4 linked regions of the Drosophila melanogaster genome follow. The protein of the gene in region 4 interacts with the protein of the main gene of each other region in a pairwise test. Each region holds a gene or a part of one and is shown on either strand. Other genes may lie near its edges.

The links.
Region 1: the proteins of BomBc2 (region 4) and Tango4 interact in a two-hybrid assay, tested with the Drosophila melanogaster proteins (one large-scale study listed by BioGRID).
Region 2: the proteins of BomBc2 (region 4) and sn interact in a two-hybrid assay, tested with the Drosophila melanogaster proteins (one large-scale study listed by BioGRID).
Region 3: the proteins of BomBc2 (region 4) and CG14715 interact in a two-hybrid assay, tested with the Drosophila melanogaster proteins (one large-scale study listed by BioGRID).

What each region holds. Positions count from the first base shown.
Region 1 is NC_004354.4:12,015,271-12,023,341, forward strand, and holds Tango4 (transport and golgi organization 4), read left to right. Parts: upstream 1-5,797; 5' UTR 5,798-5,889; coding exon 5,890-6,008; intron 6,009-6,067; coding exon 6,068-7,397; 3' UTR 7,398-7,476; downstream 7,477-8,071. Other genes in the region: regucalcin, read left to right, coding at 249-296, 733-1,451, 1,509-1,701; Chrac-16 (chromatin accessibility complex 16kD protein), read right to left, coding at 2,181-2,603; Lsm12a (LSM12 homolog a), read left to right, coding at 3,911-4,055, 4,358-4,488, 4,555-4,671, 4,737-4,868, 5,265-5,393.
Region 2 is NC_004354.4:7,960,744-7,969,937, forward strand, and holds the start of sn (singed), read left to right. Parts: upstream 1-3,399; 5' UTR 3,400-3,429; intron 3,430-3,474; coding exon of another isoform or gene 3,475-4,206; intron 4,207-6,696; coding exon of another isoform or gene 6,697-6,798; exon of another isoform or gene 6,799-7,493; intron 7,494-8,959; exon of another isoform or gene 8,960-9,194. Other genes in the region: sws (swiss cheese), read right to left, coding at 434-620, 696-971, 1,063-1,481, 1,827-2,398, 2,465-3,399, 3,475-4,206, 6,697-6,798. UniProt on the Drosophila melanogaster protein: Acts as an actin bundling protein. May have a role in the asymmetric organization and/or movement of cytoplasmic components. It has a role in somatic cells during the formation of adult bristles and hairs, and in the female germline during oogenesis.
Region 3 is NT_033777.3:11,672,286-11,679,732, forward strand, and holds CG14715 (uncharacterized protein), read left to right. Parts: upstream 1-1,935; 5' UTR 1,936-1,996; coding exon 1,997-2,143; intron 2,144-2,206; coding exon 2,207-2,476; 3' UTR 2,477-2,638; downstream 2,639-7,447. Other genes in the region: CG42327 (uncharacterized protein), read left to right, coding at 292-839, 943-1,177; CG18476 (uncharacterized protein), read right to left, coding at 2,670-3,446, 3,518-4,099, 4,158-5,064, 5,120-5,532, 5,600-5,731; Taf12 (TBP-associated factor 12), read right to left, coding at 6,267-6,587, 6,659-6,928.
Region 4 is NT_033778.4:18,381,865-18,389,005, reverse strand, and holds BomBc2 (bomanin bicipital 2), read left to right. Parts: upstream 1-3,416; 5' UTR 3,417-3,434; coding exon 3,435-3,492; intron 3,493-3,547; coding exon 3,548-3,954; 3' UTR 3,955-4,167; downstream 4,168-7,141. Other genes in the region: BomS3 (bomanin short 3), read right to left, coding at 631-698, 770-821; BomS2 (bomanin short 2), read right to left, coding at 2,134-2,213, 2,276-2,333; BomS4 (bomanin short 4), read right to left, coding at 4,168-4,247, 4,312-4,369; BomS1 (bomanin short 1), read right to left, coding at 4,777-4,856, 4,926-4,983; BomBc1 (bomanin bicipital 1), read left to right, coding at 5,803-5,860, 5,925-6,220.

The sequences.
Region 1 (8,071 bases), on a different chromosome or scaffold from region 4:
GGAAAGTGGCATATGTTACAATCGAAAAAAAAAAACTCCATTGTGCTCCACCGTCGGCCTTTGGAAAAATTGAACTTAAAACATGGAAATGGAAGTAAATAAATAATCTCGCATTGTGTTCCGCTTGCGATGATGACGATGCCGCCGATTCTCAGCCAGTAATGTCAAGCCCCTGGTCTGGAGGTAATAAAAGCAACTCCGAGCGATGGCTTTGGGCTCAGTTTGGATTCGGAGCCAACGAGCGCAAGATGATGTTACTGATTCCCGTGATTGCAGTGTGCCTTTTCGGCCTAACGGTACTGCGTCTATAAGTAGGACCAACTAAAGAAATTGAAGAAAAAAAGTGTTACGAAAGTCAAGTGTTTGAAACTCTACAAAAAATCGCATATTTAAATGAATATTTAAATTAAATTAAATGATTAATTTAATTGCTCATTGCTCGCATATAAATTATCCTGATAATTCTATTTTATCGCAATGTTGACAGTTTGAATTATTAGTTTTTCGCTTTTGTGCGTAATTTTCTGATTTAATCCTACATCTAAATTCGAATTCTCTGTACTTCTTAATTGTTTAATTCAATTTAAAATCTAATTAAAATGGCAACCATGATAATGATAACCATGAAGTGCTATAATGCATTCCAAATGCCACTTTATATCCACTATAAATCCATATAAAATCAATTAGATGCACTAATCGCAAATCGGTTGTTCCCAATTTCGCCAACAGATGTCGTACAAGGTGGAACCATTGCCCGATTCCTACGCCGGCCTGGGCGAGGGTCCCCATTGGGATGTGGCCAGGCAGAGCCTGTACTACGTGGATTTGGAGGCAGGCAGCCTGCTCCGCTACGACTATGCGCAGAACAAGGTCTACAAGACAAAGATCGAGGGCGAAACCTTGGCCGGATTCGTGCTGCCGGTGGAGGGACGTCCGCAGGAATTCGCCGTCGGCTGCGGTCGACGCGTGGTGATCGTCAACTGGGATGGCGTCTCGCCCAGCGCCAAGGTGGTGCGCACACTGTTCGAGGTGCAGCCACTGATGGAGAAGAATCGTTTGAACGACGCCAAGGTTGATCCCCGTGGTCGCTTCTTTGGCGGCACCATGCGCTACATTGGCGATGAGTTCGAGTTCCGTCACGGCGAGCTGTACCGCTGGGAGGCCGGTGGCCAGGTGTCGGTGATCAAGGGCGATGTGGGCATCTCCAATGGACTGGCATGGGACGAGAAGGCCAAGAAGTTCTACTACATCGATACCACCGACTACGAGGTGAAGTCGTATGACTATGATTTCGAGACCGGCGTGGCTAGCAATCCCAAGGTTATATTCAATCTGCGCAAGAATAGTCCCAAGGATCATCTGCTGCCCGATGGCCTGACCATCGATACCGAGGGCAACCTGTATGTGGCCACCTTCAATGGCGCCACCATCTACAAGGTTAATCCCAAGTGAGTAGTTCACTCTAACATTCGTGATCGAGTGTTAAATGTCGTACTTCATTGCAGCACTGGCAAGATTCTGCTTGAGATCAAGTTCCCAACCAAACAGATTACCTCCGCCGCCTTCGGTGGCCCCAACTTGGACATCCTGTACGTGACCACTGCCGCCAAGTTCGATCAGCCCGCTCCAGCTGGCACCACCTACAAGGTGACCGGACTGAACGCCACCGGCTATCCCGGCGTCAACCTGAAGGTCTAGGAGCTGCAATCTCTATCTATCCTTAGCCGCAGTAAAATGTACCAATCGAATCCAAGTGCAATTATATGTTATGCTCTTTAACGTTTTAAATCGCGTCTATCAATGTTTTGCATGCTAGTTAGGTTATCCTTTTTTGCAGTTCTAGTTCAAGGTCAGCTTAAGGATCACATTCTCTCCTGGGAATATCCAGGATCATCATGTAAACTCACAAAGAGGTTGACTATGCTCTACTTTACTCTGATTTCAAACAACAATCTTATCAGCCGCAGACACACGGTAATCATCCGCGGATCTTATGGTCATTTGGAGGACGCAGTGCTCTTATGCTTCTTTATTAATCAGTGGTTCTATAAACAATTTTATACTTATCGTCTAGTCTAAAATTAAAGATAGCAAGGTGGCGTAAAAAATCAGTCGATGTTTTGGTGAATGGAGATCATCCACTCAATTTCGGTGTAGATAAACATCTGCATGACCGTCTATTCATCAGACTCCGATTCCGATTCGGACTCTTCTTCATCGTCATCATCGTCGTCGTCATCGTCGTCGTCGCTGCCGGCGGAGCGATTTAGCCGCAGCATCTCCTGGAACTGGTGTACACGGATCTTTTGCGGCACGATCTGCAGCAGAAACTCCAGATTCTTGTTCTTATTGACCACCTGGGAGAGATGCTCGTACTTGAGCGCTTCGCCCGGTCGCTGGCCGAATTCCTCCGTGTATGCCGCGCCCGCCAAATGGCGAACGAATAGCTCCGTGCACTTGGTCATCAGGAAGAGCACCTCGTTGGTGATCAAGCCCGTGTCCATGGAGCTCTTCATGATCGTTCGCACGCGGCTGAGGGGCAGAAAGGTTTCCGCGGTCGGTGGACGCTCCACGGGTGGTTGGCTCCTTGGTTCGCCCATTTGTTTACTTAATTCCCAAGCAAACTATGGCTTGGGAATTTTTTTGGTTTTAGAGCTGGGCTCACAAGTGGAGCTGTGAAACTATCGATGTTACAATCGAGGCATGAAATTCGTACCTTTCTGAGACACTATCGATTCTTTTTTTTTATTTGCTATCGATGGTTATGGTTTATGAAGACTTAAAATAAGTAACCGCAGGGCTTCCCTTAAAACGAACAATGCTGGCATACTTCTATTTTTGCAAGGAATTGGATGTGCACAATAATATATGTGTTACTTTCTCAGAATTAAGTTATAGCGCTAAATATATAAAAATTGAGAAACCCATTCGGATTTGCCTATACTTTCAGCTCTAGCTGGAGCGGGAATTTAACCAAATAACGTTGCGCCGATATGCTATCGGTAGCCACAACAAGTATTTAATAAAAGTTTTCCAAATATTTCAATTTATTAGTGGAAAAACCGCTCTAAGCAAATACCTTTAACTTAATCAAGAGATTAGGGGTAAAACGATTAGGATCTGCACGATTTATAAGGAAACATTCAATTGCAACAACATTTAGACAAGTCAATATTATCTACTTTTGTCTTTTCAGTATGCAATCAACTTTGGATTTTCACACTTATAGCTTAAAAATCTGTCTTCATTTTCGAACTCACATATAAATAAATATCAATAAATTATTATTGCACTTGATTTGTTTGCAGCAACGTTGCCAGACTTCCGTAATCGATGACTATCGAACCTATCGCTGCGCGGCATGTGCAACACTGCGTTTTCTGCTGCCCCCTTTTGGCTGTTGTTTCGTGTGTTGACCAATAAATTTTTCGCGTACTTTTCCAACTTTTCAATTACCGAACCGCAATTGCCGCCAAAATAGATAGCCGATAGCTAGTCGAGCGAGTAACCAGCGAGTTTTTGGCCAATTCACGCGACGATCAGGGGCAGTGGAAGCAGGAGCAGGATCTCGACCAGATCGCCAGGAAGCGACATTTCCATTAGAGCGGTTCAAGTGAAAGCGAGTGAGCTGCACGGCACGAGAGAACGAGACAGACAGACGGCGAGAGTGAGAGCGAGCGAGAGAGCTAGTTAAATCCTTTCGAGAATTCCAGGAATTCAAGCATCCAAAACAGCTGCTGCTGCCGCAAAATCATCAACATCATCACCATCGCTGTTTGTGAAACGTTGTTCAAGCAACGGCGTGCCAACAAACCAGTATCGACATTTAGATCTAGATTCGAATCCCCTATCCACATAGCTTGTGGGTGCACTTTTCCAGTTGGCCAATCTCAACCAGCAATTAAAAATGGCCGCTGCCGCTGCGAGCGCAGTGAATGCAGTGAACGACTGCTTCAGCATCGGATCCACAGTCGTCTGTACGACCTGTTTCAACGAGGAGGTGGAGGGCGAGGTGCTGGCCTTCGATCACAACACAAAGATGCTTATCCTGAGTATCCTTTTGCAACGAAATCCCCGAAATGCATACCCACACACACACACAACTTGCCCGCCGGGTGAAAGCGAGCACTTTCTCCGGCTGTCCACAGGGATCTCTTGAGCTGTCTGGACAAAAAGTCACACTGTCCTTTAGATTCGTATATAATTCTAATTCACACTCATCTTAACTGATAGCATTCACATATCACCTATCTCTTATCAAACCCATTGTTTACTGCTTGACAATTTGGTTCTCCGTACATCGTATATCTTTGCCCCCCGTTCCTGCTCTTCTCTTCCCTTTCCAACCGCATAGAATGCCGATCCAAGTCCACGGAGGAGCTGAGTGATATCTACGCGATGAACCTCTCGCTCTGCAGCAACGTGCAGGTGATCAAGGAGTGCAACGGCAACTTTGATGATCCGCAAAAGCTTAATCTGGAACAGGTAAGCATGCCAGCTCTGACCACTTACATAAATATATATATATATATATATATATTGCTTATACAGGTCAAAATGCGTCTGAGGAAAACAGTTGAGCGAAGACAGGACTACTTGAAGTCTAAGAATGCTGATGTCAGTCCAGAGGCGCAGGAACTCTATAGAGCGATAGCCAAACAATACGGGGTAATGACCTCTTGCACGATGCCCTATCATCATTAACCATTGCTATTTCTTTTACTATTTTGTAGTACAATGAAGTCTCCTGGCAAGGACTTAACATACAGATCCTAAATGAAGTCACCATCTCGCCGCCGTACCGAGTGGACAACGTGGTGTCCAGCTCGAACAACGAAACTTCATGCAACTACATCAAGCGCATCGTAAGCAATTGCCCAACCGCAGCACCTTCAAGCAAACTGTCATAAATCCGAAATGAAGTTCGTTAAATCTTTAATCAGACTAGCAAACCATTGTAACTTAAACCCAACGCAATGGCTCAAACAACGATTTAGTTGAATTAATGTTCAGAACATTCTAGATTCGCTAATGTTTATAGGTTATTCATATGTCAAGATAGTCCTAAATATTTCAAGTACTTCCCAATGTGGTTTAGGGTTTGATTAGAAACAGTATTAAGCATTTTATCATTCTGATATAAACATACAAATGCGCAAAGTTGCGGTAAAAAAAAATAATGCTTTATGACAGAATTGTGGCTGGTGTGGTCGGTGTTTTTAAGTTCATAGGTTAATCTTTACTCCATCTTTTATCTGCAGATCAAACAGTTCTTCAACACGAGGCCATCGCCCGTCCCGGAAAGCGGAGCTGCGGCCAGCACCTCGTCACCATCGGTGTCTCCCACGTCCTCATCTCTTGCATCTGGATCGCCGGTTCCCGCAAACTAATAATAAGCAGAAAAAAAACACAAACAAAACAAAACAAAAAAACAGAAATGTGCTTCAAAAAAGAACAACGTATTGGTTTTTTAATCTCTCGGGTGGGCGCATAAAGTTAACACTTTGATGGGTATTCGAAAAACGATTCTGAAAAAACTATCAGTTTTTGTGGCTTTTATGGTACTTTGAATTCAGGACCCACAATTTCTCATCTCGACTTAAGGTTGTGAAAAGTTAAATCATTTTTTTCTAATTATTAGATAATTCAATTACACAATTTCAATTAGATATTAGATATTTGCATTTAAATACATTTAAAATTTTAATAAAACTTCTTTTAAAAATGGATGCCCATGTAGCATTAACATTTGGCTATAAACAAGCTAGCAGACATCACTGTCCGATAACCGATAGCCCGATTGTTATGTATGGCTTGTGGTGGTCAGCTGCAAGAGCCGCGCCGCGTTTTTAACAAATTTAGCGAATAAGCAATAAATAACAGACAATGGCCATGGAAGACGTGCAGAAGCACAGCGTGCACACGCTGATATTCCGCTCCCTGAAGCGCACCCACGATCTGTTCGTCTCCAACCAGGGAAATCTGCCCGAAATCGACGAACGTTTGTGAGTATACCTGTAGTTTGCAACTTACGCATTGTTAATTTGTGTTTTTCGTTAAACAGAGAGAAGTTGCGACGTTCCATCAAGGCGAAGGATGGCTATGGCCTTGTGCTGGACAAGGTGGCGAAGATCGGCGAGGCCAGGAAGGCATCAGGAGCCCAAACGCCGGGCGACAAGACGCTGGCCATCACCGATGGCAGTGCAACGGATGCGGCCAGCGGTGCCGGCAGTCTGGTTAAGTACAATGCGGGCGCCAGGCCAGCGGAGAAGACAGCGCCACTGGTTACCGGCACACACACATCCCTGGTGCGCGCCTCCCTGGCGAACAGCAATGCAGATATGAGCGCCAATGGCGCCATCGCCAGCCATCTGCAATTGATACCGAAGAAGGCGCCCAGCATACCCAAGCCCAAGTGGCACGCACCCTGGAAACTGTCGCGCGTCATCTCCGGCCATTTGGGCTGGGTGCGATGCATCGCCGTGGAGCCGGGCAACGAGTGGTTCGCCACCGGCGCTGGCGATCGTGTGATCAAGATCTGGGACCTGGCCAGCGGCAAACTGAAGCTCTCGCTCACCGGTCATGTGAGCACTGTGCGCGGTGTGGCCGTCAGCACGAAGCATCCGTATCTGTTTAGCTGCGGCGAGGATCGGCAGGTCAAGTGCTGGGATCTGGAGTACAACAAAGTCATACGGCATTATCACGGTCACTTATCGGCTGTTTACTCGCTGGCCCTGCATCCCACCATCGATGTGCTGGCCACCTCCGGTCGCGATTCCACTGCCCGCATCTGGGACATGCGGACCAAGGCGAATGTGCACACACTGACGGGCCATACGAACACGGTGGCCAGTGTGGTGGCGCAGGCCACCAATCCGCAGATCATCACCGGCTCCCACGATTCCACGGTGCGTCTGTGGGATTTGGCCGCCGGCAAGAGCGTCTGCACGCTAACCAATCACAAGAAGTCCGTGCGCAGCATAGTCCTCCATCCATCGCTGTACATGTTCGCCTCCGCCTCGCCGGATAACATCAAGCAGTGGCGCTGTCCGGAGGGCAAGTTTGTGCAGAACATCTCCGGCCACACGTCCATTGTCAATTGCATGGCGGCGAATAGTGAGGGCGTGCTCGTTTCGGGCGGCGACAACGGCACGATGTTCTTTTGGGACTGGCGTACCGGCTACAATTTCCAGCGGTTCCAAGCGCCCGTCCAACCGGGCTCCATGGACAGCGAGGCGGGCATATTCGCCATGTGCTTCGATCAATCGGGCAGCAGGCTAATCACCGCCGAGGCGGACAAGACAATCAAAGTGTACAAGGAGGATGACGAGGCCAGCGAGGAGTCGCATCCGATTAACTGGCGACCGGATCTACTGAAGCGCCGCAAATTCTAGACTCCTAGTTTGTAAGCCTATCCATAATAGAATACGATTTTCCAAACGATTTCATTAAAAACAACTTTAAATGCGCTCGAATCTTTGAGTAAGCTAGTTTCTGGTCAAGAATCCTGCATCCAAATGCGCAGGTAAGTCGATGGAGATGGAAATGAAAGAGTTGTCAGTTGAATTCTTGGTATTTTTATTGGGTTTTTTTTTGTTCCGTTTATTTTGTACACATAAATAAATTGAATTATTTGCTGCATAAATAATAATAGCATATAGCGGTAGTAGATTAATAAAATATGATTTCTTGTTGGCTCTCTTCTCATTTGATTCGGTTTTTCGAAACGGAAACGGATGTGGGCGCGGACGCGGATCTCGATTCCTTCGCTATATAGTTAACAAAGAAAAAGCACTAAACTGTGTATTATTGTAATTTATTAATTAATTTTATGTTGTCTAGTCCTTTGCATACATTTTTATCATTTCATGTTTAAAAATCACAAATAATTGTTTGAAACAAATCTTATATTTTTCATCTCCCATACATACGCCTTTGCCATCTCTTTCGATTTGCTGCTCGAATATATGCATATATATATATATATCCACCGCCATCGTCTTCAAGTTTATCTTGCGTCTCGTTTGGTGACTCTTTTTGTTTTGTTAATCGTATGTTTCGTTTAAAG
Region 2 (9,194 bases), on a different chromosome or scaffold from region 4:
ACGGTACAATAACACATTGAAGGGGGGATAATAAACTACAAAAAGCATAAAAAAGGAAAATACCCAAAGAAAAACTTATAGCATAAAGCAAACCAAAACGGGGATATACAATCAAGAGTACAATGTATTAACAGCAGTTTCAAACTTTTCAAATTACACATTTCAATTTCTTTCAAAAATGTAACTTAATTTACTCGCCTAAATAAAAATTCAGAGTATTCAGAGCCGAATATCAGTTTTTAGTATGTACATAAGATTTAGCTTTAAAGGTCATACTAGTTAAGTACATTGCATTCCCATTAGCCGATAGCCCAAATAAAATAAAAACGAATAGCGACTAAGCGACAGAAAATGACAGAGACAGCCATATACAAAGCGAGGGAGACAGACAGAAAGAAAGATCAAATCGGGAGCTTTTTGACTACTAACTTACCATTGGTGTGAATGCGATGGCAACTGGCGGTTATGTCGGTGGTGAGGGTGAAGTAGGGTATCCACAGGTCCTCGATGCTCACGTCCCCGAAAGTGTCGTGGATCGTCTTGTTGAACTCTCGTCCGGAGAACATCGATGTGATCGGGTAGGTGAGGTCAAGTAGTTGTAGGAACCATTTCGTCATTTTCTAAAAGAATTTACATATATACATTAAACATATATATGTACATACGACGAATGTGTATGAAAGTAAAGTACTAACCTTTGACCACTCGCGCGCCTTCTGCGTTACCGTGGTGATATTACGCTCCGAGCACCAGAGAGCTCCCATCAAGGCACCGATGCTGACGCCGCCCACCATGTCAACAGGTATGCCCGCCTCCTGGATGGCCTTCAGCATACCAATGTGGGCAGCTCCACGCGCTCCTCCGCCGCCCAGCACCAGGCCAATCGAGTTGCCCGTAAGCCAGCGCGCCAAACGCGAGAAGTCGGAATGCATGTTTGGCTCGGACAGCAGGACGCGACTATAGAGATCATTCTGAAAGGTAACAAATAGATCGATGATTAGCATAGACATTGCAGCCAAGGCTATTGGCCAACTTGTGAGCACTTCCTCATTTCTTACTTACAATGCGATATTGACTTTTGCGCGTGAAGATCCGCTTGACGCAGAGCACATGGTGGTGCTTTGTTACCCAGGGTCGGGCATTTAGCCAACTAAGCGTGTTGGCCGGCTTGGCATTGCTGGCCTCCGGATATAGCAGGACGAGCTCCTTTTGCGTTCGCATCGCCAGCCGGTCGATCTCGCGTTCGAACTTTCCGACCAGGTGTGATCGATCGCCGAGGCCCACGATCAGGATAACGTCAGCCTGTCGCATGCAGCGCTGTGTCCACGCGCTCAGCGAACTGTCACACTGATAGAGGGTGATGATGTTTCGGTCCTCCTGCTGCGCCAGCCACGAGGTTAGACGATACTCGTTGGCTGCCTCAAAGATGTTGGAGCCCAGCTGCTTGCGCACCACATCGGAGGTCAAACGGAGAACGGGTCCTGAGCGAGAAACAGAAGAGAAACGTTACAATTGGCGGTTATATCGGAGATTCAGTGCAGCAATGTGAAACGTTACCGGACTTATCCATCGTGTTCTGAATAAATCTTAGCGGAAAAGAAGTGTAAAAGATTCTATATGCTGAAATCTCGCTATGCCTGGGACTTTGTCCTCTTATTACCTTTTCATAGTTTTTATATTTAAAGTGAACATTTAACTATCATAGAACCTTGTATAGCTACAGAGACATATATATCCCTTTCATTCTTCTTAATCAATGACAAATAATAATGTATAGATAGTACTATTGTCCCACAGATTGGAGCGCTCACTAGCTTTATACGAACCTATGGCACAGAGCGAGTGGTAGAGCTCGTAGGTGAAGGGCGTCATCGGCACCTCGTCGGTGATGGGCACCAGGGCCACCGTGGAGTACTTGTGCGTGACGGGATTGGCCTCGACGGGCGCGCCCGGCGCCCCGCTGCCCGAGCGCGTCTGCATCGAGCCGAGGAAGCGGTGGCTAAGGAAGCTAATCAGCTTGGTCACCACGATGGGGTAGCGCAGCTTGATGGCATTGAACAGGCCCTCGGGCAGCTTGGCCAGCTCCGAGTCGCGCACAGCCATCACCGTCGTGGTGCGCGACGTTTCCGTGATCATTTCAACGATGCCCACAAGATCCCCCTTGCCGTATTCGCCGACGATCTCCTTTTTGCCACCAGGATGCGTGATAACCGAACGCATTCGCCCGCTAAGCACAATATATGTGCTGTCGCTGCTCTCGTCCTGCCGATAGACAGCTCTGCCCGATTCCAGAAAGATCCAGTCCAAGGCATAGTCACACTGCCTCACCAGAGGCGATAGACGGCGTACTACTCCGTTGCCCAGATCCAAAACAATGCGTGGTCGTTGTCGCATGATCCTGTCGAGGAAATAAAGCAATCATAAAGCAATCATTTTACTTCATTATGTAAACGCCCAAACTTACTGGTAAATAGCTGCTCGTCGGATGAAGGCTATTCTGGTGATGCTTCTCGATCGAATGGTATACGCACTGGCCTCTCCCGTTAGCATGGCCAGTCCACCAACGATTTCGCCGGGATGCACAAAGTGAATGAGCATGTCGCTCTTATCCTGCTTGGCCCGCGTGGCATCCTGATTGCTCTGGTAAACAGCCAATGTGCCCGTCATCACAAACCAAACGCAAACATCGTCCGCATTGCCCTCCGTAATCAGGGTGACATTCGGCTCCAGTTCCCTTAACTCTACAAAAGGCTCAATGATGTGGGAATCCTCCTCGGACAGACCCAATTCCTTGCGTAGGCTGTCCACCGCTGAGGATTGCACCAGGCGCATGTCTATCGAGGTTGTCACACCGGGTGTCTGTAGACACGAGTGCGAACCATCGGGTGCCATCAGAGTTATGGAACTGCGACGCGTGGATAGGTTGCCCACCGAATGCTGCTGCTGCTGCTGATGGAATAGATCTGCATTGGGCGCATCGCCATGCACCTCGGTGAACAGATTGGTAGTGCCGTGAAAACTACCATCCGGATTTGGATTCGGATCGGATAGCGTGTGCTCCTCGCGCGAGTGTCGCGATGGCGAGGATGGTGGTCGAGTTACGGTCACCGAGACACCCGATGATCCCGTTCCCGAAACAGCGGACTGCATCAGATTCATCTGGCTGATCACCATGGGCGGCCCATTGGGCGCCTGGCGTGAGGATTGCGAGGTCTGCGAGTTAATCGGTCCACTCATTGTGGATACGCTCTTGTAGCGCATGTGATTCTGCACCAGTTCGGCATTTAGACCGAGGTAGTTGCGCAAAGCGGTGAACAGTACGCGTTGTAGCCGGATCATAATCACCTGGATGACGCGAATCATTACGTCCGGATTGTCCTGGAACACCTCTTCGAATGCCTGCCAAAGCAAGGAGGAAAAAAATAAGAAGTAAGTGAGTGTTCAATGAACATTTAGTTTAGTTAGATAAACTACCTGCATGGGCAGACGAATGACCACCGATTTCTCAATGGCTTTGGCGGTGACCGTCTTATAGTAGCTGGGATTCCCCGACAGGACATCAATAAAGCTGAGCAGCGATGTCACCGACTCGCCCTTCCTGACCGTCTTCAATGATAGTGTGCTGCCATCGGCATTGGAGATGTACACATTGATCATGCCCGATTGAACGATATAGACGCTATCGTCCGGATCGGTTATCTTAAACAAATAGTCGCCGGCCATCAGTTCCAGCAATTGGGTGTGCTTGCAGAGCCGCAAAAAGACCGGCTTCTCGAAATGTCCAAAAATGCGAATGCTCTGGAGCATATAGAGTGCATCGGGCGGAACTCTATCGCTGCCCTCGATTGTCTCCTCCAGATACTCGGCTGGCGGCTCCACGGTGCGCATCTCTAGCGGCATATTATCCCGCCTCAGCTGGAGTATCCTTCTCGCGAAACGCATGACAGCACGACGCTTGTAGCCCTTACCGCTGCTGTACATTTGACCGCTCACGTTCTTCATTTTGCGCAGCATTCGACGGCCGTAGAATAGCATCTTGTCACGCTTCCGGAAACGCAGGCCACGCATATCGCCGGATGAATTGGTTACGGTGCTAATGGAACGGGCAATCTCGTCGCGCAAACGCAAACGTGCCATTCGTTTGAAGTATAAGAACCAGGCTATGAAGAGCAGGCTCATCATTACCAGGGCGAAATACATGTACACCTGCAAAGGAATTTGTATAAGATAGCGCGCAATTAGTTGATTCCTCAGTTCAAAGGCCTTCATTATAATGGCTGTGGAGTTTGGTAGAACTCTTTGCTGCAACCACGTGAAAACTGTCTGATTTCCTCGGAAGTTGAAATCGATGTCATATCGAGCTGGTTCCAAACTTAACATTCTTAATAGAGCTATTAAAGGCTAATATAAAGAAAATCTATATATATATATAAGAAAATGTTTTTTTTTTTTTTTTTTGTTATTCTTGATCTAAAATTGAACTAAAAGTGTTTGAAGTGTTTGAAAGTGTTTTTGAAGTAAAATGAAAGGGTAATCTAACTATGATATAATATGCTTTTGATTCTATATGGTTTTTCACTTTTGCTGAAATGCAAAACAAAAAAATGTGAATTCTTGTACTAATGTGCCAACTCCTTTGCTAAATCACGTTTCTTAATTATTAATTAATTGGTTAATTAGTTTCCCATTCTTCTTCAGCTTATGACATTGAAACGAAAGGATATAAGGGTTTTTGATGTCGTCTCCAATATGATTTTCATTTCGTATTTTCCACGTCGCCCAGTTATTTAGGATGAATTATTTAGCACGAAGACACTTGGAATTTCCCAAAAGCAAGTGTCACGCCCGTGTAATCAAGTGCATCAGCTGTGTTTTGTTGTTATTTTCCCTAAATCTTGTTGTTGCACTCGGCACTTTGACATTGAAACGGCGACGCAACGTCGCTGCACATACATATGTATGTATGTATGTATGTATGTTTGTTTTATTGTTTGTTGCTAGCGGTTCTGAGTGAGTTGTTCTTGTTCGATGCGGTTGTTGTTGTTGCATTTGCTGTTTTTGTTGTGGCAGTAGTTTCTCGGGCAATTTGTTGTTGCTGCTACCCATTTGTTATTGTCTGCAGTTTCCGCATTTGATACTACACAGCGCGAAAAATGTAGCGTTTTCTCGCACTTCATTAAACGTTAATTATAGTGGCGTAGTTTCGATTTCTTTCGATAGAAATAAACATTTTTTTTTAATCTATAAGTTGCACATTTTCTTTCTCACTGTGCACCTTACTGTTTGTCTTTTATTACCCCCAGCAATTATTGTTTGTTTACAGTTTATTTTTACAACAGGTTTGCAAAATGTACAAGAAAAAATGCCATAAATACCAATTGACTCAGTCGGTCTAATTGGAAGCCGAAGCTGCGCCACACACGCACTTATCCAATTGGATTTGCTTTGATCTAATCGGACAGCACACACATACACACACTCGCATAACAACACGATAATGATAAAATTCGCGCAGTCACAAGGCGGCTAAATTGATTTGGCCCCAAGGGGTTAATTGAATTATTGAAAACTGATTTCGTACGCACCCCCCGCCCACGATTGCACGTGCTTCTGATTAGCAATCGGTTATCATAGTTATCAGCTCGGGTGGTTTAGTTTTTCTTTTTTTTTTTTTGCTTGCTTCGGGGTCGCCTGGGTGTCATTATCAATACTATGGTCGTGTGGTGTTATCATGTGGCTACTGTAGTCAGTGGTTTTTGTTTTTCATTCGTTTTGTTTTATGTAAGGCCACAAAACAATTTCGATTTGTGGCGACAAATGAAAACACGGAAGTTTCCCCTTTTCTCTTCCGGTTTTTCTCTTTTCTTATCATTTGGCTGGGTTCTAAGAGAGATTAGAGTCCTGAAATCCACACTTGCCTTAGCCTGTATCGTTCTAAACTTTAGCTGGGGTCTAAACTTCAATCCGCTGATAGGGTTTACTAGAACTAAGTTATGGTAAACTAGTCAGGAACAGCGACTATTTCGATTCTTCTACCTATAAATCTAAGTACTTAACCTATGATGTCTGGCCGACATTTATTCGTCAAGCTAACATTTTGTAAAAATTTTTTTTTAGAAAAATTTCCATAAAGATAATGGGATTACACATTAAAAAATCGCATACAAAATACAGTGGAATTTTCTAACAGGTGTTTGCTCTCAATACTCAAGTGGGTTTTCTTGAATAATGTCTGTTTACTTTACTTTAACTACTTAGGTCTGCTTTATCGCTCATTCTGTGATTTTTATCAGGGGACCTAATCTTTATGGATGTTGTCACAAAAAAAAGCTATATTCATAATAAAATTCTTGAATTATATAAAAGAATTGTGACGTGAGTACGTAAATACTTATTAATCTTATATTATATGTAGCCTGGACATGAACCTAAAACAGCTGTTATCCTGCTCAAGTAAGATCCACATGCTCTCTTTTCGCTCACGTTCTCTCTCCCGCGCGTTAAGCACGGACACAAGCCCGAACAGCTGTAATCCTGCATCGCATTTTTTTTTAAGCTTTCCAGCTGCCCTTCTAATCCTCGCGTCCTCTCGCTCTCGCACATATTGTCTTCCAACTGACTCACTCATATTGCAAACAAACAGCAAGCCAAAGTCAAAGCAAATAAAAAGACAAAGAAAGGGTGAAGTGCACTTACCGTTGCTGTGATCTGCTTGGAGACATATTGGCACCACGCGTCCGAGAATATTGTGTTGTAGCTGCCGCTGGCGCTGGCGCGCAGCATTTCCAGGACATCCATTGCGCTCCCTTACGCGGCCAGTTTTCCAATGACTCTGCTACGCTGTCCTTTCTCCCACGAAACTATTCGATTTGCTGTTTAGTTGACTCTTAATGTTGTTGTTGTTCTGCCTATTTTGGCTTATGTATGTTCCGTTTATTTGGTAAATACGCAAGTGTATGGATGGGACGGGGTACAGGGTGGAGGGGGCAAAGTAAAATCACAGCCCTTTGTTGTTGCCACCGTCGCGTTCTCTCTCTCCCTCGCTCACCTACTCCGTCCCTAGCTTGTTTGAATATGTCGCGCTCTATCGCACTCACATTTACAGACACCCCCGCCCCACGTTTGTCATGCCTTTTGTGCAATAATTGTTATAATGCACGCACCGTACCGCACAAACGCACTCACAGCCACGCACAGCGGAGAGCACAGTTTCTTTTGATTTAGATTATAAATCTTGTTGTTTTTGCTGTTACGAGAATCATCAGAACCAAAGCAATTGTTGTTTTTTTTTGTGGTTTCTTGCGGAAATCTTTCGTTTTGGTTATATATTGTTGTTGTTGCTCTCTCTCTGTTTTATTCTATCTCTCTCTCTGTCTTGAAGGCGGAGGCGGGGGGTGGTTTGCCGTTGGATGGGGGGGCGTGGCAACGTGTAACGAAAATGTTCTTAATTTACTGAGCCGAAATAAACGCGCATTTTGCTATGTAACTACAAACTAATAAACTGAAATGCACTCTAGAATTATTGTTATTGGTATCGATTCGCTTTGATGGTGGATTGAAAAACATCGATATGCCCGGAAATCGATTGTTTCACAGCTGTGTAGAGCAGCCCGCTAGAGTGACCATACAAAGTCGACTTTAGAACGGTTATTTCAAAATAATGTTAACCTTTCGAAAAATTTAGGTGTATGCAAGCCGAATTATTTGATTTGGAAAATAATACTTAGGGCGTCCATATCAGAAAAAACGTTTAGCCAATTTTAAAATTTGTGTTAGGCACGTTATGTAGTCAAATATATATAAATAAATTATTCTTATTATTTATAAATATTATAATAATATTTAATAATAATAATATAATATATATTCTTATTCTTATAAATTATTATTATTTTAATTTTTACAAAAGTGATATGCTGATATGCTTATAAATGTAAGATTCTTGTTTATTTGACTTTTTTTTTAAATTTCATTATCATTATTTCTTGCTTGACAACCCTATGTTAAGTGCGACACTGCGTTGACAACAGCTAAGAACATGGCTGTGGGGCGACAAACTTAGCAGAGCGCGCGCTGCTAGAGCTTAAATTGTATTTGAAAACAGTGCAGGTGAATCGAAAATGTCTTGGCATGCAGTCAAACATTAATTTGCGAGCATAATTAACTCCGCTTAAGATTGCTGGTAGTCAAGGAGCCGTGAAGAGCGGAGACGGCCGCTGGTAATATTCAGTGATTAACAACTGTAAAATCTAAAATCAGTATTAATATTCATGTGTGTTGATTTAAAGGATTTTGGTGAAATCCGGACCCGAATCGGAGCTGAGGTCCGAAACTAACGTGCAACATCCAATAAAAGCAAGTGCAGCTTGGGTTATTAGAGCATAAAGCATCTCCACCAGAGTCTCGGTTGCCAGCCAAGCAAAACGGCCGAGACGCGTCTTTCGGGTGGCCAGCTGCAGTCTCGGATGCAGTTTTTGGCTGCAGCTGCAATTAAATATGCAATGCACTTAAGTTATGCACATTTCCTTTGCCCAGGGACCGTTACGATTTCGTATTTTAAAAGCCGCGCGAAAGCTAACAGCGCTGTTGGCTAGCAGACGTCTGTTTCTGCTGTTGTTAGCCAACAGCCAACAACAACAAACTGGCTGTTGTTTCGAATGCACTGCGATCTTAGCTCTTTTCCCGCTAAATGTTTCTTTGTGTGTCATTTTGTCAACCATTCGATCGATATCGATATTCCTTTGTGAAGGCTAAAAATAAAATTCTTACATGCTCATCTTATACAATAATGGATCGCACATATAGCTACTCCTTTTTCATGTATCCAATTCACTAGGTAAGCTACAAAGATAGCCAGACGGCTGTGCTAACAGAGCGCTGCTATGGTGAGAAGCCGCCGCAATGGCAACAGTGCCATCTCTGGCCGGCGATACAAATAGCGCAACTTCGCTCGCAACGGGTTTCATTCCCACTGGAGTGCAGTTCGTGAGCGGTCGTTCTCTCCTCTCTCTCGCAAAAGTAAAACTTAAAGTTTTGTGCGCGCATGCGTCTCGTCTTAGAAAAACCTGCAATCAGTAATCTCGAATCGTGAAAATCCTTTTCTGCCATACCAAAAAAAGAGCCGGACAAAGCAAAGCGTTCGATTGCCTTCTGCCAATTTGAGCAGGAAATTACAAATTAATTGCCGCCCTGAC
Region 3 (7,447 bases), on a different chromosome or scaffold from region 4:
TCATCGGCATTGCACCTGGCGATAACCTAAGCATGTCGAGATTCAAGCAGCAGAGGTCTGTTGTGCGATTTTATGGTATCGTTTATCTGAGAGGCGCGCGTAGCTGATCGCCAGTCATTGTGTGGGCAGGGGTAGAGTTAAGCCGCAATCGGTTTTAATTGATGGTTATGTCATTACTCAACCTCGCGTCGTCTTTTTGCCGAAAAACGCTAGATAGCTTCAAATTCAAATAATACTAGTATGCTATCCAATGGAAAGACATCATTTTGATACCTTTTTTAATCACTTCAGGGCCCGAGGGATGCACCCAACTACTACATAGCCTGCCAGGCGCCGCTGGAGAGCACGACCAGCGATTTCTGGCGCATGATCTGGGAACAGCAGTCGCGGGTGATCATCCAGGCGACGGATCTCAGTGAGAACGGAATTGAGAGGTGCGCCGAGTACCTGCCACCGTCGGCGACTCTGGACAATCATAGCAGCTATGGCGATTACCAGGTGACCCTCAAGCATCGCGAAGTCAAGGATCGCTATGCCATTTCCACATTGGTTCTGAAGCGAGTGGATGGCGAGGAGAGCCGTGAGCTCACCCACTACTGGTACAAATGGCCTGAGGCGGGTGTACCGGCCGAGGAGGCGCCCATCATCGCCATGCTGCTGGAAGCGCGATCCTCGCTGAAGTCCTACTCCCTTGAGCAGGCCAACGAGCTGCGCGAGAAGTCCGCGACCCTGGAGACGTCAATGGATGCGGACGGCAGCAAAGCCGAGGCGGGCAGCACGTCCAGCCACGAGATTAATGGAAACATCTCAAGTCGAAGCGGAACACGAAGTCAGCAGGGGTAGGTTGACATAATCTCCATCCATTCATATCAAAGCAGTTGTTGTGTGTTGCATGGCTTTTTAATGTTCTGTGTCTTAACTTCTTCATCTCTCCCCCTGCAGACCGCTAACCGTTCACTGTTCTCCAGGCACGGGACGAACCGGTACCATTATAGCGTCGGACATGGCCATCCGCAGTCTGGAAACACCGAAGCGGTCCGTGGACATCCCCCAACTGGTTTACTACGTGCGACGCGGACGTGCCAGCGCCGTACAGACCAAGGAGCAGTATGAATTTATCTACAAGGTGGCCAGCATGTATGCGGCCAAGATCACAAATCTGTCCAATGACAACTGAAAGCCAGATGGCAGTGTTAGCGGCAGAGCCCATCGAGTGGAAACCGAATTTGCGATTGAGTTCACCTTTCACCCTTACAGCACTGATCAATGGGACCCTTTGTAATAATAGTAGCTATGTTTTATACGAAATATTAGTGTAAATTAGTATTATGCTTGAATGTTGGCACCTAATTAAGCGTAGGCTTCGTTGTATGTCGGGCTTTAAATATCATTTAAATTGTATGTATTCCTTTATTATTGTGATATAATCGTACATTCGTATATCTCCTGATAATCTGTTGCATATTTATAATGTCAATTTTTGTTTTTGCACTGTCACGCGCTTCGGGGCCATATAATCCGGAGCAAATGATCATTATTTGGAGCTCTCCTTGTTTTAAGAAAGTCAAATATGTAATCAAACAATGTGTGTATCTATTTTAAATGAGCTTTAATGTACGTAAGTTATTTTTAAGTCCGAGCTGTACTATACTCATATTATTGTAAATTACAAGAAAAAATATGTCCAGCAGTGGTTTTTGAAGTTTTAAATTTCGCGGGCTTCGCATTTAAGTGAGACCTTTTTTGATTGGGTTTTAACTATGAACCGATACTACTGCACTTCTGATCTTTCTCTTATTTACATAAAATTTCTTTTGGTTACTAATTTTTTCAAAGTTAAAAAAAAAAAACAAGTTTTAATCTCTTAATTTCGTTGAAAACTATTTGAGTTGTTATATTTATTTGGTTTTATGTGTGCAGTGGGAACAAGTTAAATTATTGTAGATCTCTGGTCACACTAAACCGCGAGTGTTTTTTGATACTGGCTTTCGATAAGATGAAGTTAACTTATATTTTGTTAATCTGCGCTTTTGTGGCCGCCTCCGCTGCCAGCGATCCGAAAGTGAAGATTGGCATTAAGAAGCGGGTGGAGAACTGCACCCGGAAGGCCAAGGGCGGCGATCTCGTCCACGTGCACTACAGAGTAAGGGAAATCAGATAAGGAAGATCTCTAGCCGACCTAACCCCGAATTTGGAATCATTCTAGGGAGCACTGCAGGATGGAACAGAGTTCGATAGCAGCTACTCCCGCGGCACTCCCTTCTCCTTTACCCTGGGAGCTCGGCAGGTGATCAAGGGCTGGGATCAGGGAATCCTTGGTATGTGTGAGGGTGAGCAGCGAAAGCTGACGATTCCGCCTGAGCTGGGATACGGAGCCAGTGGAGCGGGTGGCGGAAAGATTCCCCCCAATGCGGTGCTCGTCTTCGATACGGAGTTGGTAAAAATCGAACCGCGCTCTGGATCTGAAGAGCTGTAAAGCGAATAGGGCCACAAATAGGCATTCCATGCTACACCCAAAGTTTACTTTCAACTAAAGTCATAAACATTTAATGCTCAAATATTTAAAGTAGTAATTTGTCTTGTTTCTGAAGTGATGCCACGCCACGACCAATAAATAATAATGTCATTCCTTTTATACTAGACCAAATTGTATTTATTGCAAGAGCCCCTTACTTTTGGCGTCTCAGCCACGCTTCCACCTCGTCGAAGTGACGCCGCATCAACCGATGCTTCTCCAGCGTGCTGCTCTGGATGAAGCGCTCGCCACAGGTGCCGCACACGAAAGGACATTCGCCGGTGTGCTGCTGGAGATGAAGCTTCAGGTCCTTGGCCTGACGGTAACTCTTCTCGCAGTAGGTGCATTTGTGCGGCTTTAGGCCGCTGTGCGTAAGCATATGGCGCTTGAGCTTATCGGAGCGGGCAAAGTCCTTGCCACAGACGGTGCAGTGGAATGGCTTCTCGCCGGTGTGCATCCGGCGGTGCGAGGCCAGCTCTGAGTGGCGGGGAAAGGCCATTTCGCACAGATCGCACTTGAAGGGCTTCTCGCCAGTGTGGCGTCGCATATGGGTCACAAGAGCGGCGGCTGATCTCGTCTCCATTCCGCACAGGGAGCAGAGGAAGCGCTTAATTGCCTCCTTGCGCTTGCGGTCGCCGTTAATGTGCACATCGCGAATATGATTGTTCAGGCGCGACTTCATCTGGTACGTGCGATCGCAGTGTGGACACTGTAGCAGCGGTATTCCGTCCTCAGTGGCATCCTTTTCCAGGTCACCGGTCCCTTGCGTGTGTCTGTCGCCAGTCGGATTGCTGACGGAAGACTTGCTGTGTTGCAGGAGAATGTGCTGCTCTAGGTTCTCTGGCCACATAAACTTGTAGGAACACTTGCCACATGCATGCTTCTTTTCTGTACTACTACACTGACCTTGCCGGTGGTGGTCCATAATGCTCTGAAGCAATAATGAAATTGACATAATGTATCTATACTGGTTAAATGTAGAATACACATTTAAAACCTCACCTTGGAGACACATTTAAAGATGCAGTCGTCGCATTCGTGTGGCATTTTGTCAAAGCGATGCATCGTCCGCTGATGCTGGATCATTTCGAACTTCCGCTTGCACTGCACGCTGCACAGCTCGCAAATATATACGGGGCGACTGCCCACACCGGGCTGCATCTCGTCTTCGGTTTCCGAATCCTCCAGCTGCAGCTCAAAGCCAGATTCGTTTGTTATTGAATAATTATGCGGGGAGTCGTAGCTCTGGTGTAGCGACAGGGATAGCTTAAGCTCCAACTGGATATGGGCTCGCAGATCAACAATACGCTCGAAATGCAGATTGCACATGCGGCAAGTAATGCGCTTCGCTCCGTTTGGCCGCGAGGTGGCAGCAATCAATGTTTCTGCCAAGGGAATGTCATGCTCTTTCAAACCGTGTCGCTTCAAGTGTTTTACCAAGTAGTCGTGCCGATAGAATTTGCGACTGCACCACTGGCAGGGAATCAGCTTGGATTCCTCCGCATGTACGCTAAGCAGGTGAACGGTGAGGGATTTCTTTTTATCAAAGACCCGTTTGCACTCGGAACATTCAAACGTTTGATTCTGTAAAATTCATAGATGCAATGGGTCTGTAGCCTGAACAATTCTTAGATTAACTTACTGTAATCCTGTGTTCGCGGAAGTGTGTTTTCAGGTTGTGTTTCCAGCGAAAGCGTAGCGGGCATTTGTGGCAGAGAAATCGCTTTTGTGCATTCCTACACTGCGACTCGTTGTGGTGGCGCAGCAGCTGCAGACTTACAAAACGTCCATCACATCGCCCGCAGACGTGAGGAGCGTCTGACCAACTGTGACTTTGTCGCTGATGGTCATAAAGCTGATATTTTCGCGGGAACTTTTGCTGGCACAGCTCGCAGCTGTAGGTGGCTTTGCGCGACTTCTTTCGCCTCTTGTGCTGGTCATCGTGATCTCCGTCCAGGTCGCTGTCCGTCTCCGAGCTGTCCAGATCCATTTCGTAGCCACTTTGGTTCGTTATCGAATAGAAACGCTGATAGATACCCGCCGCTAGATCCTTGCGAATCAAGTTGATTAACTGCTCCTCACTGAGGTCCTTTGAATCGGGATAAAACAGCTCTGCCAGCTCATGGGGCTCCATATTTGGCCGACCGCACAGGCTAACAATATCGGGGTGCTCCTCCAAATGCCGGCGCAGATCAGCAATCTTGTTGTATTGGCTCTGACAGATCATGCACTCAATCAGCTTGTAGCCATGCGGTTTGCAGAGATTCAAATCCACAGCCTTGGCCTTCTTGTGCTCGCTAATGTTGGCCGATCGTTTTGAATTCCGGTGAATTTTTAGGTGTGCTTCGAGGGCTTCGCTGCGGCTGAACTTGCGAATGCAAAGGGAGCAGTCATATAATCGAGTTTCTGGCTTATGGACGCGCATTTCATGGCGTTTCAAGAAGTCGAATCGTTTAAAACTCCTAGGGCAGTCGTGACATTTATATACAGACTTTCTTCCTGTTTTCCACTTTTGAATGCGATTATACAGTGGCAAATTATCCAGGGAGCTGCAAGATTAGTTAGTTAAAATAAAGTAGTTGGGAAATTCCAATTGTCACCCACTCTTCGTCTTCAAAGTCCGATGTGGGATCGTCATACGCTGGCTTCTCCACGCTTCTGGGTTCCATTTCCAGCTTCACCGTTTCAATCATGGTCAGTGGGTCCACCGACTTTTTGCTCTCCATGTCCGTTTCGTCCGGTTCCGGTAGTTCGGAACAAGTGATAGTAACATCATTTTCGCCACAGTCCTCATCCTCAGTCTCCAGCTTGACTTCCACATGCTGCTCAGCACACAGCTCCATCGGCGCCTCCTGCAGACAGTCGGTTGACGTTGGAGCAGCACCGTTCTTTAGATGCTTCATTAGAAGTTCGTTGGCGGCCATCGCCTGCTTCACATAGCAATAGGCACCCATTAATTTTTTGGTGCATCCACTGCACAAGCATTGCGGAAATTTCTGACTACCAGTTGCATCCAGCTGAAAGGTAAATGTTTCATTTTAGTTTGCATTTTTCGTAGATTTCGCTTCTTAGAACTTTGTTTACATTGATTTCGGTTAGCTCGCATAAAATCTCCGAAAGCAACTTGTCCGGATACTTTTTCGAGGGCGTGGCCAGCTTCAGAAGGTTGTCGGTGTCCGTGGAGTCGCACGTGCGACAAATCACCGGCAGCTTCATGGCGAACAAATTTGTTTTGGCCAATTGAAAGCTTTTTTAATTTTAAATCAACAATCAGAAAATCAACATTATTGATGGTATGACCTTGATGCGAGAGATGGAAAATACCGTTCGGTCATTAAAAAAATACCACGTTGTTAAAAAATACAGCAATTAATTGGGTGCGTTCAGCAGAGTCCGCTAATTATTTTCAAAGGGAAATATTACACAAATATTTTTAAAATAAACTGAAGAAATTGTTAAATTATGAAAAATATAAATCAATATCCACCAGACAAACAATTAATACAAATATTACAGAACCATTAGAAACTGTGATTAAAAAATCACGACTTAAAATTTACTGCTGACGGTGACCAATTGTTGAATGTGAAATCAATAGTGCACTTTTATTACAATAAATCTACAATAGAGCGACGATAATTTGTTATTTAATCTAAATTGGAGCTTAAATTAGTTTGTGGCGTGTGCACGTTTAGCATACGCGAAATCCGGCAAACCGAAACAGAGCCTCGACCCGATTAGATCCAATCCTCTAGTATTTCTTGATCGTTTTCCGTATGAGGGCAAGGCGCTGTTTGTGCGCCTCCGTGACAGCTGCCCGCTTGTAGGGACGCAGTTCGTCCGTACCGAAGCCGGGTATCCACATGTTGTACTTCCGCTCAAAGTGCAGCTGCACGTCGCGCACCTCGATCTTGTTAGACTTTCGGTGCTTGGCGAAGGCGCTCGTCGACTTGACGGTGTCCTCGACAAAGTCGTCGATGATCTGAAGCAGAAGCTCCTCAACATCCTCGTCCAGCTGCGTGGTGGTATCCACCTCTCGGACGAGCTCTGTGAGACGCGGTTTGGTAAGCATCTGTAATTCGGAAGAGAGTTAAACTAGACCCTGGCGTATTCCGTGTGCACTCCATAAGGCACGCATCTTACGGGAGTGTTCTCGGAACCGGCGGCGGATGATGTGTGATTGGATGACTTGCTACCACCAGATATGGGGCCCGTTCCCGTACCCAAACCGGAAACCGGTCCGCCGTTCTGCGAGGATGAGTTGCTGTTGTTGGTCATCGGACTGTGCTGGGAGGGCGAGGCCATGGGTGGGTCGTGGAGCAGTCCGCTGGCGGACGATGTGGAGTTGTGGTTGTGGTGCAGGTGGTGCTCGGCGACGCCGTTGCTATCGAAAGTGGTAAAGAGATCCGACATTGCTTTTGGGTTTCTTCAGAGTCAAATCAAGTGGGTGGTAGGTCGGTTGGTTGGAAGTGTTTGGGGAAAGTACAGTAAGTTGGGCGGATTTTTGGGGAGTGGGTAAGAGTGCAGAACCAAAGCCAAAAGCGTTAGTGTACTTGTTGTTGTTGCTGCTTATGTTGTGTGTCCTCCTGCTTTCTCAACTGCAGTCGGTGATTGTGTGTGCGTGGGTGTTTGGTTGCAAAGCGAAATGTAAGTAAAAGAATAGAGTGGTCAATTTCACGCGTGCGGTCTTAAGAATCCGTCGCTTTGTGTGTTTACTAAAACTAAAGTGTTACTTAGCAGTTGCTCTTAGCGCATGCAACACTTACAATTATTGCGGTTTTAACACTTTGATCTTAAACTATTACTTTCCTAAATTACTAAACAAAATAAAAATAAGCGGAGCAACTACAGCCAAATCAACAGTATGGCCAGTTGCAGGCGACTCTGAAATGCCCGCTGGTGCTATAAAGCAATTTGGTATATTTACGTTTA
Region 4 (7,141 bases):
ATATATAATTGTTTATAATTATTTTGCGGGATTTTACATAGTTATTTTAAAGAAATGTCTGGAAAGGAGTGCCTATTAATTAGTTGTTTAATTATTGTTATTTATTAAACAAAAAATCGGTAAGCTGTATCGATTTTATTGCTAAACCATACAGTAGCAAGGCTGATCTATTTGGATAATAATGTAATTAATCAAATCATAATATGATAATATAAAATTTGTATTAGTCTTTAAAACATTTATTTGAATTAAATACGGTATTCTCCATCGCCTAAGATCATTTTCAATAATTTGTTTCTCATTCCAGATCTCTAAACTAACAAATAACAAATATTAAGCTGACTTTAAGCGTCTTTTAATGACAAGTGATTGTTTCATAGTTTGTTTTCCTAGAACTTTGTAATACATTTTGCAATTGGAATACATTTAAGTGGTTTGCCTGAACCTCAACTGCCTTTCAGTTGTTATCTATAGAAATCAATAATATTTCCCCATTACAAATAATATGTTGTTTTGTTTGGAATATATTTAATATGGGCACTTGATTCTAGGAATTTCTATTACATTTTCGACTTAAAAATATGTGTGGCTGTGTGAACTTCAACTGGCATCCTTCATTCTCCGCTGCCCTTAGGCCCTCACATTGCAGACGCGGCAATCGCCATTGATGATGACATTGCCAGGATTCAGGGGAGTGGCTGTGTTGGAAATATAATTAAAATCATAATTAAATAACTTATTTAGTTTGTAAATAGTTGGCATTACTCACCGTTGGCCAGAGCCAGCAGACCCAAAACGAAGGCGAGTGATAGGAATTTCATGTTGTTGGTTTTTGTGGTTGAATTCTGAGCTTGACTCCCGCGTATTAGCCGTTGACAACTGATGCTAAGTGTTGAGAACAACACGCTTTATATAGTCATAGAGCAGCCAAGTGTACCGATCTGTCTTATCAACCAACTGGCAGCGACACCGGGAAAAGTCTGGCCGAGATTGGGATTCTCCCAAGCTCAAGCCAAAGCCAACACCTCCATCGAGAAATTCCCGAGTGCAGCGGTGCGACGTTCTCAATGAAATTGAGCGTAAACAAGTGCAGACTGATAGCCCCGAGCTGCGCGATTGGAAGAGGGAAATCCAAGCTGGTCCAGAACGCGATTCTATTCACGTGCAAGGTGGCCAGATTGCAAACCTGATTCCATTTGACTTGGCGGCGCCCCATGCGATTCGTTTTTCCCAGTATTGCGAACCCGTTTTAATGCGTTCAATTCCGCCGAATCAATAAACTGTCATATTAGCACACAGTTTATTAGCAAGTTTTATGCAAAAAAGGTTAGCCAAGGTACTTGGAAAGATTATGGTTTTGGATTGGCAGGGAGTCATAGTTTTTTTTTGTAAGAAAGTCAATATGGCTATGTAAATAATTTAAAATGAAATTCAGGCATAAAGCTCAACTTTATTTAAGTATTTTGAAAAACAATTATTTCTATAATTAAATTCTTACTTCTTTCAATTACTAAATACCAAAATTATTTAAAATTAGAATGACACCTAATGGTAATTTTTTCGAATTTTAAATACAGTTTCATTTATTTTTATTAAATAACAAGTTTTCTTATCTATATTCTGAAATAATTATATAGTTTTCATCAAAAATAAAATTATAACATTATTTTTCGTCATTTAAGGCTATAGGAATTTAGAGTATAGTATATACAAATAAATTAAGAAAAGGTTAATATGCGTGCAACAGTGCGTATGAGTAATGTCCATCATAAGAGGCGTGCCTTTTGGAGCCTTTAGAAAGTTTTTTCAATAGCAAGTATTTAAAGATCATATTTAATATGTATATATACATATTTGTATATATTTGGCTTTAATTTGCATTGAAATTGTGTTAATCAAATGCTTTAGTGAACATTTCTTGTTTAGCTACTTGTTTATATTAGCTGCAAGGTATTAAAAATACGAAAATAGTTTTGTTTTTTCACCATTTTATTTGTAATTGGCGATGTATTTTTTACTACTAGTTTTCATTTTAGTACAAGAGTGAGAGTATAAATATGGTGCTTTGGATTTGAGGTAAGTTTTGGCCCATCTTCGAAATTAAGGCGAGTACTTTCCTACTTTCCTACTTTCCTACTTTCCACCGTGCACATTGCAGTATTTGCAGTCCCCGTTGATTACCACATTTCCTGGATCGGGCGACAGGGGAACAGCTGCGGAAGAAATAAATAATTTATAAAGTAATCAAATAGCTATAAAATATAGTATTACTAACCGTTGGCCAGAGCCAGCAGACCGAACACAAAGACGGTGACGACTGAGAAGAACTTCATATTGATTCTGGTTTGGTTGTTGTGGCTTTGATTTGCTAAATGCACAAGCAATCGATTGAATTCAACTGATGCTCTTGGCTAGTTCGATTGGATCTTATATAGCTCAGCCTGGAATCTTGGAGCAGCAAATGTGCATTGGTTGGACGGAGGCCACTGATAACCCCCATCGAATCGAAAGCGCTTGGGAAAACACAGAAAGTTGAGCGTTCAATAGCATTTGTTTTGCGTATTTAAATCTGGAAATTCCAGTCCCGTGTTTATGGGCGTGTTATGTGAACCAACAGGTAGAAGCTAAGATTGCTTTAATGTTCGAGAGAAAACCATTGGAGTTCTTAGAAGTATTCAAAATAGTTGCAGTTCAATATAGCTTTCAATCATTTGTCTTTCTTTATAAGAACTGAATAATTTGTTTTTTGTTTTGTTTACAAACAAAGTTTGTTGTTGTTTTTTACCTCGATTTGAAGCACATGCACCTGCAAAGTTTTGCATATATTTCAATATAGAAATGTGTTGTGCTCAGTGAAATTGAAACCGGCTTATAACATTTTGAATACAAAGTCTGCACGTGCTACAAATTAAATTAACACGTATACACTTGCATTCAAAAACGAGTTCATTAAACTTACTATTGAGTATGTTTTTAAATAATAATATTCTGTAGTAATCTTTTTAACAATTACTACAAAGAAAGCGTTATATTCTTCTTGTAACCATTAAATGAAATTTTATACGCAGTCAATATAATATTTAAAAAAAAGTTAGAACTCAGGGAATAATTAACTAAATCATGTTAGAATATGGTTAATCTATAATAAATAGCTGAAATAAAATTGCATCAGCCGCTTTGTAAATTGTATTGATTTTAAAAAAAAGATGATAATTTATTATATTTTGAAAAGCACTCATTTCCTTTAATCTCCTACACAGGCAACAGTCAATAGTTCAGCTTTGTTTTAAAACAAAGGTGTACTCAATTCCAGCCAGATCGGTTTTAAATTTGTATACATTATATATATAGATTATACAGATTATAAATCTCAGCTAATCGGCACGGCTATAAAAAGAAGGCGACGCCGATCAATCGGCTTAGAGGGAATCATAATGAAGAGCCTGACGTTATTGGCGCTTTTGATCTTGGCCACGTTGGCCTTTGTCCACGGTCGGTTTGAAGGCCAAAAGGTTTTAACTTGAATATTAACCGTTCTTCTACCTAGGTGGCAAGGTGACCATCAACGGCAAGTGCGTAAACTGCTCCCATGATCAAACGACTACCACCACGCACAAGCCAACAAGTGGAAAAGGAAGTGGAGGTAGGACGACAGCCCGGCCAAGCTCGAGATCATCTCCAGCCCGCGGTCGCCCATCATGGGATGACGATGATGATGATGACCTGACCGGTGACTGGGCACTGCATCAATCGGCTGGAGGAACTCAATACATTGGCAGGCGTTCGAAGCGTCAGTCACGCGGTGGTCAGTACATCGATTTGGGCGGATCTGGCGGAAGGGGTGGAGGCGGAGGATGGGCAGGATCTGGCATAACCACCATCGATTCCAGTGGCTATCCCGGCGGAACACTGGTGCGCAATAGTGATTGCGTCGGTTGCAATATTCGCGGATAAAGTCAATAAATTATTGAAACACTAAGAAATTATCTTTTTTTTAAAACGAAGATTGTTTAAACTTATGTGGTGGAGGAATCATCTGTAAACCAATATTCGAATTTTTTCTTATAGTCTCTATAAATGATTGCGATTTAAATACAATTTACAATATAGCTTTCATTTTATTACATTTTTATTATGATGCTAAATATAAGTTTTGATTAAAAATTTCTATTTGCCACCACGAACATTGCAATTCACACAGTCGCCATTGATGATAACATTTCCTGGATCGGGTGACAACGGAATAGCTGTTGAATAAGATGATTATTTACTTAAGTAATCAACTAATTAATCTTTGTAGGTTCTACACACCATTGGCCAAAGCCAGAAGACCAAGCACAAAGACAGTGACGATTGCAAAGAATCGCATATTGATTTTCAATTAATAGATCCGGTTTTATAAGCTGAACACACCGGACAAACGATCAACTACAACTGATGCTCTCGATTAAGGGAAACCGATCTTATATAGCAGATAGTCGGATCTAGGAGTGAATCAAGTGCCATATGAGATGAGAGCGATTGATTGATAGCTGCTGACAAAATATTTTTTTCGTGGGAAATATAGATTTACACTTTTTGTTTTGATTAATTCGAAAATACTAAAAATAAAAAACATCTTTTGTTTAGTTAGAAAGGAAATAGAATCCTCTATTTGTATGTATTTCTTTGATTTGCATTTTTAATTCTATGTATTATTCCAGTAAAAAATGGTAACAGCTTTTGTGTTCTAGTTTGTAGACTATGTCCTTTTTCGAATCCTTGGGTTGAAACTTCCTACTTGCCACCGTGGACATTGCACACCCTGCAATCGCCATTGATGATCACATTTCCTGGATCGGGCGACAGTGGAACAGCTGGAAAATAATAATAATAATAAAATTAGTTAAATCATCAAATAGGCAATTTCAATTAGTTTTACTCACCATTGGCCACAGCCAGCAGACCGAGCACAAAAACGGTGACGACTGAGAAGAATTTCATATTGATTCTGGATGGATTTCTCCGGTTTTGGATACTGAGTGCACTGGGCAATTGATTGGATTGAACTGATGATCTCGGCTAGTTGGAGCCGATCTTATATAGTCGAGCGTCGGATTAGAGAGCCACGCGAATTGGTGATAAGCCGTGTATTTGGGAAAACACAAGCATTTAATCGGTAGACTTAAGATGAAGTCTTCAAAGAAGGTAAAAGTACGCATATTTCAGACTTTTTTTTTATAAGAATTTTATATAAATTATTATTTTAATTATTAATTATTAATTTCAGGTAAATCGGTAGAATCATTGGTAAGAAGCATTTTTTAAGAAATAGCTTGTTTTAAGTTTTATATAAATATATAAATATAATTAAGTAAAAGTTGTAAAAGTTGTCGAACAAATTATGCAGATGAAATGAGACAATGGGTATTCTTATATTTATATATAATTGTCAAGAAAAGCAAATTTAATGATAACCGAAGACATTAAATTATTGATGGCATAAAAATCTGTATATTTTATCACAAACATGATAAACATGAGCTAGAATGTAAAAATCAAAACAATCTAAAAATTCTATATTTTACAAATAAGCTTTCATTCGATTTCTAGCTAGCAATAAGCAAAGTAAGAAGCTTGTGGAAAACCCCTGTCAAGAGTTATCTGTAAATTGAACTGGTTTCTGGGGGCGAATCCCGCACCTATCCACCCTTGGTTGTGCCTCCACTGCAATCTGGTTTTCATAACAAAGCGAATGGGAATGCTTAAAAGCTCACAGATTCCATGTGTCTCGAATAGATTCGTCTTGCACGCAGATTGAGAATGAAGTGCCTGATTCTGTCCTTTGCAATTTTCGTTGTCCTGGCTTCCCAGGCTACGGGTAAGAATCAGATGGGCGCGCCTTTCAATGTCACAATTTCGCTTATTATTTTATTATTCCGCAGCCGGAAATGTGATTATCGGCGGAGTATGCCAGGATTGCAGTCCGCCGGTGGCGGAAAACGTCGTAGTCGGTGGCCAATCCTACAGGACGGGTAGGCCGGGCCAGGGAACGGTGTATATCAATTCCCCTGGCGCATATCTAGGAGCTCTCGATGGTCCCATTCGGCGAACTGGCGCTGGCGGCGGAGGAGGCGGTGGCGCCCAGTATCCGGATGGTTACAGTGGTCGTCTGCCAGGTGGCACTTACCTTCACAATAAGGATTGCGTGGGCTGCAGCATCAGCGGGGGCGGGGATTAACGAAATTATATTGTGATTTGTACATAAAATACCTCGCATTTTTTAATTTTCGGGCATAATTTATAATTCTTTAAAAAATCTGAAAATTTGGTATAGTTACTTTATGTCATATTTTATAGAATCTTATTGGTTCAGACCTTTATAAATGTCCTTTATAAATTTTGATAAAATTAATTTTCCAACTGTTTTTTGAGTTTCGTAGAGACAAACATTTTTAATTAAAAAGTAAAATTATATAAGAGCTATTAAGTAATCAAAGCTAATAAAAAAGTTATAAATCAATTAGAAAATCAAAAAGACCCTCGTTTAATACGCTTATTAAACATATGATGGCATTTTATTACCAATTTAAAATTTTAATTTTTCCTTTTCATTTCTTTTTATCAAAGCATTGTTTATTGGTCGGAAAAAAAAAGTTTTGTTTGCGCAATATACAAGTTTACATACTTTACTTCCATAGAATTTTATTAATATTTGCGGTATTCGACCATAATTGAATACATACATGCACTGAAAATACTTTTTACGACAATATTCATTTTTCAATTTAAATGAAATTCTACAAAAATATTAAGAACTTCAAATGTGTGTTTTAAATAAAGTAGTTCGAAAATTAACTTTAACAGATACTTAGTATAGTTTTTCAAGTAATAGAGCTTCATATTACTTATGATTATTACACAACTCGAAAATAATATGCATTGCATATCTGAAATATTCCCCCTACGTCATATTACTCTTATCACAACTATAACTTAGAATACTACTTAAATAATAAGCTGATTTAGTTGAAGCTTTTGAGATGCTTTTGAGATGCACTGCCTCTGAGTCAAACGTTCAGTTGAGTGGTATACGTTATCAAGAGCGATGGGGCTTTTGGAAAACCCAAAGATCTATAAAATATTCTAGGGTATTTTCTGT